2 linked regions of the Coturnix japonica genome follow. The protein of the gene in region 2 purifies or fractionates together with the protein of the main gene of each other region. This does not show direct contact. Links are inferred from orthologs where the notes say so. Each region holds a gene or a part of one and is shown on either strand. Other genes may lie near its edges.

The links.
Region 1: the proteins of CDYL (region 2) and MIER1 purify together in Homo sapiens (co-immunoprecipitation; 3 studies listed by BioGRID and IntAct, counting the BioPlex papers as one, with this or other methods). This does not show direct contact. The link is inferred for Coturnix japonica from reciprocal best matches to the Homo sapiens genes CDYL and MIER1.

The regions. Positions count from the first base shown.
Region 1 is NC_029523.1:25,756,564-25,760,371, reverse strand, and holds part of MIER1 (mesoderm induction early response protein 1), read right to left. Parts: intron 3,195-3,808; coding exon 3,118-3,194; intron 2,819-3,117; coding exon 2,746-2,818; intron 749-2,745; coding exon 597-748; intron 66-596; coding exon 1-65. UniProt on the Homo sapiens protein: Transcriptional repressor regulating the expression of a number of genes including SP1 target genes. Probably functions through recruitment of HDAC1 a histone deacetylase involved in chromatin silencing.
Region 2 is NC_029517.1:63,734,491-63,738,820, forward strand, and holds the start of CDYL (chromodomain Y-like protein), read left to right. Parts: upstream 1-1,466; 5' UTR 1,467-1,639; coding exon 1,640-1,663; intron 1,664-4,330.

The sequences.
Region 1 (3,808 bases), on a different chromosome or scaffold from region 2:
TTAAACCTCAGCCTTCGTAAAGATTCTTCAGTATCAAAATTGCACTTAACCAGTTCATACAACGCCTGCAAAGACAAAAAGACATATGTTTAGTATTCTAAATAACACTGATTTCACACTGTGCCACAGAAACATCCTTCATAAAGTATTAAGACTTACTTCAAAAAAGGTGAAAAATGAACTGTTTGAAGGGCTGCATTACAATTTAAGACAGCACTTCCTGGTTAAATTTCCACAGCTCTTACCTACGCAACCAAGCATAAACTCAAGTGAAGTATTTCAACACTTTCACCCACTGCACACATTTCCAAAATTGACTTCTTTAAAGAAAATTCATGAAGTTTCAAAAAAACTGCAATTGAAAGAACTCACGCGCGATTACTTACACACAAAACCACATGCTGATGCCTAACACAAGGTTAAGTCAAAGTTAGCAGTCCAGAATTTGTCGAGAGGAAGGAACCCATGATATTTCTACTTCCAAAAGCAATAAATAAGCTGTTTCAAGCCCAATTTTAATTGTGGGGATTATAATAAAATAAAGGGATAATTCATTCTGTAATACTAAACTACAAATGCCACCTCTCACCACGTACCTGCTCGTTGTCCTTAATATGCGATCCCTCAGGAATGGCATCCAGGCCCTTCTCATCACCTGTGCGCCGTGATGCCTCGTTTAGGAACTCAATCACTTTATCTTCTGGCAAGACATCAGGATTCCACAACAGCTGGTCATCATTCTCATACACTGCAGGAAGCAGAGGAAAAAGAGAAGCAAGCTGAAACAGCAATATGGAAGCTTATCCTCTCCTGTAAAGCTAGCACTGATGGAGCCTCGGAGCATCAGCATCAATCCACACCTCAGGGCAGGTGAAAGACCAGCTCACAAACATGATCCCATGGGTAACACACTACACCTTACCCTGTCTTTCAATCTCTGCTCTGGATTCTGGGAACATGATACTCCACGAATTCCACCTGTGCGTCCTCCTGACAGATGCTACTTAATCACAAGGCAGCAGAACCAGAGCCCAGAACTCCCCACCCTACACTTCTATTTAAGCATCACAGTTTTACTGATGGCAGCAAGCAAAACTTTCAGAAGAGAAACAAAGCCTTCTGAAAGCACATCTTTGAATTCTGCTGGTTGAAATTCTCTAATGGCAGCTGCTGGTCCTCCAGGCCCAGCCGAGAACCATTAGCTTCATGCAGCACACTGGGCTCACCCTTTCTCACAAGAGCATGTCAGAGCAGCCAAAAAGCAACATGGTTCATCTTCAGAGCTAGTACTTTTGTGCACTTGTTTATAAGGGGGGGGATCCAAGAGGACTAGACTTCTTGAAGAACGAGAATGATGAGATGTGTGCATGAAAAAATACTCAACATACAGTCCCAGATATTTATTTTTGAACTCTTTAACTACGTTGCATTCATATTCCAGTTGGAACCCTGGCAAAAAGATTTAAAACACTGAAAAGGAAAAGAAGTGGCAACAGACAACAAACCCCACTGATACACAGAACTACAACAACCCCAGAACACTGGTGAAAATTTAACTTTCTTCCTCAACAGTTTTAGCCCATGGCTTAGGTTCTGCATCCTGCACAGACCTGTGCGCAAGGCTATGAGAAACTGCTCTACATAGGTTAGTGCAGTGCATAAAGCAGCCCTTTTTTATTGCTGGAGGCCAGAAGCCATTCAGAGCTGAGTAAACATGTGAGAGAGCAGGTGACTGATCCATAAAGCATAATTTGCCACATCCCAGGTAAATACGTAACTCCAACTCTATTTTTAGACAATAGCAGCAAAGCATGCAAGGAGCAACTTCCTCACAGCTAAAAAGTTGCGTTTAATGTATCTGTATTTTCTAATTTACCATTTTCCCTTTTTCACAGAAGCTCCTGAATTCTCACTTGGTTTTAAGCTACGTTCTTCTCAGTGTCAGCCCCACTGTTGGCCTGTTTTTGGCCAAGACCAGGAGGGACCACGTTTCCATTTTCTGTTGGGACCAGGCCGCAGTACAGCTACAGCAACCTGGCACCTAGAGCAAGACAACTGTCACCACTCGAGTATGTTCTCAGGTTCTGGGGCTGCACTGTTTCTGCTGGTTAGTTTAAAACTAACATACAAAAGCTGCAGTCTCAAACCAACCTGCAGTGTGAACAAATTCTTGGTAATGGGTTGAGTGAGCAGGGAAATTCCTGCTTTTAAGCTCAAGCTGGGTTTATGTGAGTCTGCCTTTCCTTGCTTCATTGTATTAACAGCATACTGCCAAAGGCTCTGCTTGTAAGAGGAAAAGAGCTCCTGGAAAACACTCAAGTAGTAGAACAAGAAGTTCTTTAATGATGATTGAAGAGTTGTAAGATGTGAAAACAAAGCTGCTGGCACCATTTCATCTCTATGACAGGTTAATCCAGCACCATCATTTCTTTACTATCCATTTCACATAAACGGAACAAACCACGTGAAGAGGTTAACATAACTGATACGAAAAGTTTGGCTCAACTACCAGGTTAGAATGCAAGGACTCGATAGGACAGCAATACCACCTATCTTTTACCCTTCCAAGTCTCAAGCTCTAGAGTTGAAGTACACGATGAGCTACAGTCTGGGATGATGGTTCTATTCTTCATTTGAAAGAGCTGTTACATTCCACAAGACATGTGATGTGAGTGCAACATATCTGTTATTGTTTCCCACTAGGAAATGAACCGACACACAGTAGCAAGCAATGCTGAGGCTCACCTTTTTCATTCTCTTTGTATCTGCATATGCCAGCTGGAATTTCAGCTTGAAACATAGAGCCCACCATGATTTCCTGTTTGGAAATAACAGACACCAAAAGTTAAGCAACCCCAGCCTTGCAGTTTTTTGTTAGCAAGTGAAAATATGTCTGTATCATCCTTTCTCTCTTAAAGCTTTCATCGCTCAAAATCTAAAACAACTGTAAATAAGCATTAGAAAAAAACACACTTTTCACTGTCTTTAACATTATTGCTACAAAAACACTCACATTTGTTGAGAAAAAAAGGGAGAAGAGTTATGAGATCTTTAGATCAAAGTTACTAGGCAGCAGCTCAGCTCATTATTCACAGAACACTGAGTTTGATAACCGACCTTAATATTTACCTTTTTCCAGTCTTCTGAGGGAATATAATCTTCATCTTCTTCAGACTCCTCTTCTATTTCACTGTCTAGGAGAAATGAGCCAACATGTACACAGAGCCATGCTGGGGCAGCGCTGGGGCTGCAGCCAGCCACTGGGAGTGCCGTGGGGTGAGGGGTGGACACAGGCAGTGCTGCAGCCCCACTCTGCCTCCCTGCCACCTTATCTCTCGCTGCAGAAGCATGGAAGGCAGGCCGGCTGGCACTGCTTAATGCTCCAGCAGTGACTGCCTTAAAAACGACCCACCCAATGTTTGTGTTTAGAACGGCTTGAGATACACAGCAGGCTATGAAAAGTGAAGGCACAAGTGGATGCATCCATCAGTTTTAGTCCTTCCTAATAAAACTCTGTTTTCCCTCACTCAGCTGTGAAGCAGTTGAGACTGTCCACATTTACAACACACAGTTACATCCTGAAAGTATTCTTGCTTGCACACTCAGCATCCACACGTGGATTTCAACCCCATTTCGATAAGCTCACCACTTTGTTGCTGCTGCTCTCTCTCCCTTACAGCAGCTGTCACTGAATTTAAGGTAAACTACAACACAACACACAAGAAATTCACAAGCACGCTTCTGTGAGCCTCACTGGGATTTAGTAGGCTTGGATGTACTGCTCAGAGATGTACAGTACTGCTTCAAA
Region 2 (4,330 bases):
AACCAAACCAAACAAAATAAAAACTCCGCAAAAACAAGAGGTAACTTGATCAAGACTTGGTTGAGTCAGTGTGTGGGTTGACCACACAAATGTGATGAACTCTGCTTTAACTTGCACTGTTCAGCAGTAGAGTAAGTCTTCCTGGTGCAGAACAGGGTAAGAAACACTGGAATGAGTGTCTCCATTTGGTATAGCTTTTGTCCTGACCTTGGGCTGACTGGTTTTGTCCCACCCTTCTACCTTTTAAGACCAGAAACACCACCTTGCAGAATCTGCTCTTGAAGGAGTGACTCTTCGTGTCTGACTTGGCACAACAAGGCATCCAGTCCATCAAGTTGGCAGTTGACTATAAGACACCTTATTTGCACAGTTCCCCATGGAACACCCTAAATGAGATAGTCGGGTGGCAAGTTGCATTGAGTAATTCATGCCGGCACCAAGAAAGACAAGAGCTCAGCTGTCTTCCTTTGACCCTCACGCCTGCGAGGCCTCAGTGGGGCCTTCCCTACACCGCAAACACTTGTCAGATGCAAGTCTGGCGCTTGCGGTCGGCAACGATCGGTGGGGACACCTGATCTAGTAAATGTGTGTGTTTGGTGGCCCTGCCAGGCAGGGGGGTTGGAACTACATGATCCTTGAGGTCCTTTCCAACCCGGGTCATTCTGTGATTCTGTGTGTGATTCTGTGTGACCGGCCGTTCCCCTCGCCCATTTCCCTTCTACATTCGCCACGTCCTTGGTTCAGACAGACCTTCTGCCAACTGGCGTCGGGTTGGAAAACCCACGGGGACACTCGCCACGGGCTGGGCCCAGAGGGCGGCGGGGGTCGGAGCGGGGCGGGTGCGGGAGGGCGACTCGGAACTCCGCGCTCGTCCCGCAGCTTCGGGCAGCGGCTGCTCCGAGCCCCCCGACCGCCCGCGGACCCTGCCGGGCGGACAATGGGAGATCAAAGCCCGGTGGGGGGAGGAGGAGGAGGAGGAGGATGGTGGTGCTGGGGGCGGCGGTAGCCGGGGCGGAGTGGTTACGTGTGGCGCTGTCTCTGCGCTCGATTAGTGTTCCTGGGGAGGGAGCGAGCGAGCGAGCCGGCCGGGGACAAGCGGGGTGGGGGTGCGGGGCGCGCCGCCGTGTGCGCGCCCGCCCGCCCCGCGTGTGCGCGCCCGGGTGTGTGTGTGTGTGTGTGTGTGTATGTGAACGCGCGTGTGTGTGTATGTGAACGCGCGTGTGTGTGCGTGCGTGCCCGCCCGGCGGGGTGCGCGAGGGGGAGAGAGCGAGGGCGAGCGGGGAGCGAGCGAGTTGCGCAGCTGCGGTGCGCACAGCCCCGCCGCCAGCAGCAGCAGCAGCAGCAGCAGCAGCACCTCAGCGGCACGGAGCGAGCGGAGCTGCTAGCTGCGCTGGAGAGAGACGCGCAGGGAGGAGGAGGAGGAGGAGGAGGAGGAGGAGGAGGGAGAAAAAGAAGAAGAAGAAGAAGAAGAAGAAGAAGAGGAGCAGGAGGAGGACAGGAGCAGCAGCAGGAGGAGGAGGAGGAGGAGAGCGACGGAGAAGACGGGGGAGGAGGAGGGAGAAGAGGAGGCCACACGGACACCAAGTGGAACAAAGTATTTCCAAACCAGCACCCAACTCCACCTTGTGAGGCTCCCAGCATGGCTTCCGAGGAACTCTACGAGGTAACAGCCCCCGGGCGTCCGCCCTGCCCCCGGCCCCGCCGGCCACCCTGCCCCGCCCGCGGCTGCGGGGGGACGCGGTGCTCCGATCTCCCCCGTCCGCCGGGCCCCGACCGCCGCCGGCCCCCCGCCCCGCTCCCCTCCCCGGTTCCGCCGGGGGAGGACGGAAATGTGAGCGAACGGAGAAGACGGCGAAGTGCTGCCCGTGGCCTGCGCTCCCCCCCCCCCCCCCCCTTCCCCGCGGCACGCAGCCGCCCGCACGGCACTTCGGCCCGGCGGCAGCGGGGAGGGAGCGCCCTGACAGCCCCCCGGGCAGCCCGCTGTGCCGCTCCGAGTTCTCGCCGGGCGTCGGGCGGAGGGGGGGGCTCGGCCCCGATCCGTGTCCGTCCCGGAGTCCCGTGCCACCATCGTGCGCCGCCGCCGGGCGAAACGCCGCGATGAGAACTCGGGGCGGTGCGAGGAGGAGCGGGGCTCCGCACACCATCCCCCGCCCGCCGGCGTTGGGGGGCACGGGAGGGTGAGACTTCGAATTTCCTGTCCCGAGAGTGTGTCAATTTCACATCCTTGCCCTTAATTGAAAAGCATGATGGTCCTCTTGGATTTAACTTCCTTGTTTTTATTTTTGCAAGAAGTCATCCCTGGGAGCGAGATGAGGTTGTCGTTTTCTTGTCTTTCGGTTGAATAAATAGTCTTCCACCGAACAAGAATGCTTTTATCTGGTGGGTAATAGGCATCTCGGCAGTGCTCTATAAAAAATATTTATATCCATGGGCTGGAATGCTAAGGTCAAAGCAGCCGGCTGGCCTTCAGGACGCTTGACAGAAGGCGATAGCTTCCCGTGCTGGTGGTGTCTCCCACTGGTGGGATTGCATCCCTGTGTTGAGGTGGAAGGCTCCCCTTTAGAGATCGTGTTCTATGTGAGTCGAGTGCTGAGTGGAGGTGCTGAACTGCTGGACGGGAAGACTGGAGGCCTATGTTCCCAAGGCAGATAGATCGTGGCTAATTGCTTTGGCAAGTTTCCCCACCCTCGTTGCATGGCTTAAGCCGGTCTTGAAGGGATGATCTCTGGAAGTAGGTGAGAAATTTAGAGACTGCTCTCCATAGAGGAAAATTGCCCCGGCTTTGCTTTGACTTCAGGAAAAGTTCTGTCAGGCTCGAAGAGTTGGGCCTTTAGACCGTGTTGTGGCCAGTACTTGAACATTATATCTTTCTGGATTTGTTCAATGACTGACAATGGGTTGTCAGTTTTGATTGGCGTAAGAATGACCAGAAAAACTGTTTGTTGGACATCGGGCTGAAGTTAACTGTGACCGCTGCTTATTCTTTTGCTTGGTTGACTTGTGTTGGAAGTGTTGGCTTGTCTGAAAGGTTCTGGTAGGCCATTGACCGTGGTCATTCTTGCTAGGCAGGCAAGGTGCTCAGTTCCTTGGGCAAAAGCCTGTATTTCAGAACACCTGAGGTGATAAACTGCTCCGTTTAATTTTAAAATCACTCACATTGTTTCACCATGTAAGTGCAAACTTTATTGGAGGCGCTAAAATTATTGATGCTTTTGGACTTGTGGGTGGTCAAGCTGTCTCTTTTGCAATCTCTTTTCTAAACTGCTGATCATTTTTGACCAATTTTATGCTGTAATGCAATTTACGGAAATCACGGGTGATTGAAATGTAGTGAATACTAACTTGGGAAGTACACAACTACAAGTTGACCTGAAATGATGAACATTATGTAACTTAAACCTTCTGTGAACTACCACGTATAAGTGACTGTTTCGTGGATATTTTCTTTGTAATTAGTGCTATGTGGTATTCTTTTAGACTGGTTATTGAAGTCCAGTGTAATTTGGTTTATCTCTTATTTTTTCTTTTGAATCTTGATAGCGTGTTTTAAACAACAACAAAAAAAGTGCTTAATCTATTTGAGATTATTAGCTAAAATATGAACTACAGCTGATAGGTGTTGTGGTTCTTCCAAAGTATAAGAGAGAAATCCTTGTGTAACAATAAAGGTGAAGGTAAGTACCTTTAAAAATAATAATAAAAATTAAAGAAAAAAGAAGTGGATTAGTTGTTTGTGGATCGATTTTTGCTTTTACTGAGAGTTTAATCTCTGGAGAGTGGGGGCCTAACTGTAGGTCAGTGATTGGGAATTGAAGGATAGAAACATGGAAGAAGTGCTCTTGCTGGCTGAAGGGGTGGCATTGTTGGGCTGACTCTACATCCTGCATGTTTGTTTCTCAGCTTTCTCAGGATTGTGGTAGTAATGACCATATATATATATATATATATATATATATATATATACACACATGATGACCGTAAATATATTTTTTTTTATTTTTTTTTTTGAGGGGGGAGATGATCTGAAGAAAATGTGAAGCTTGTAATGAAAAGCATTGAAGAGGCTGTCTTTTCTAGATGAAAAATGAAACACTCAGTAATCTTGCCAACCTCCGTGGGTGAGGCTAAGAACATAGTTCTTCTGTTTGTAAGTTTGAGTTTTCAAGTGACAACATGTTGGTGAGGTGGACAGAGTTGGAGAAACTGGTGAACAAGACAGCGAAGGGAAAATATAAGCAAAAGCGCTGTCTTCTTTTTTTGTTGGTTTATTTATTCACTTCTTTCCTTTTTCCCAACTTTTGGAGAAGTCGGCAAGCACTCGATCTACTTT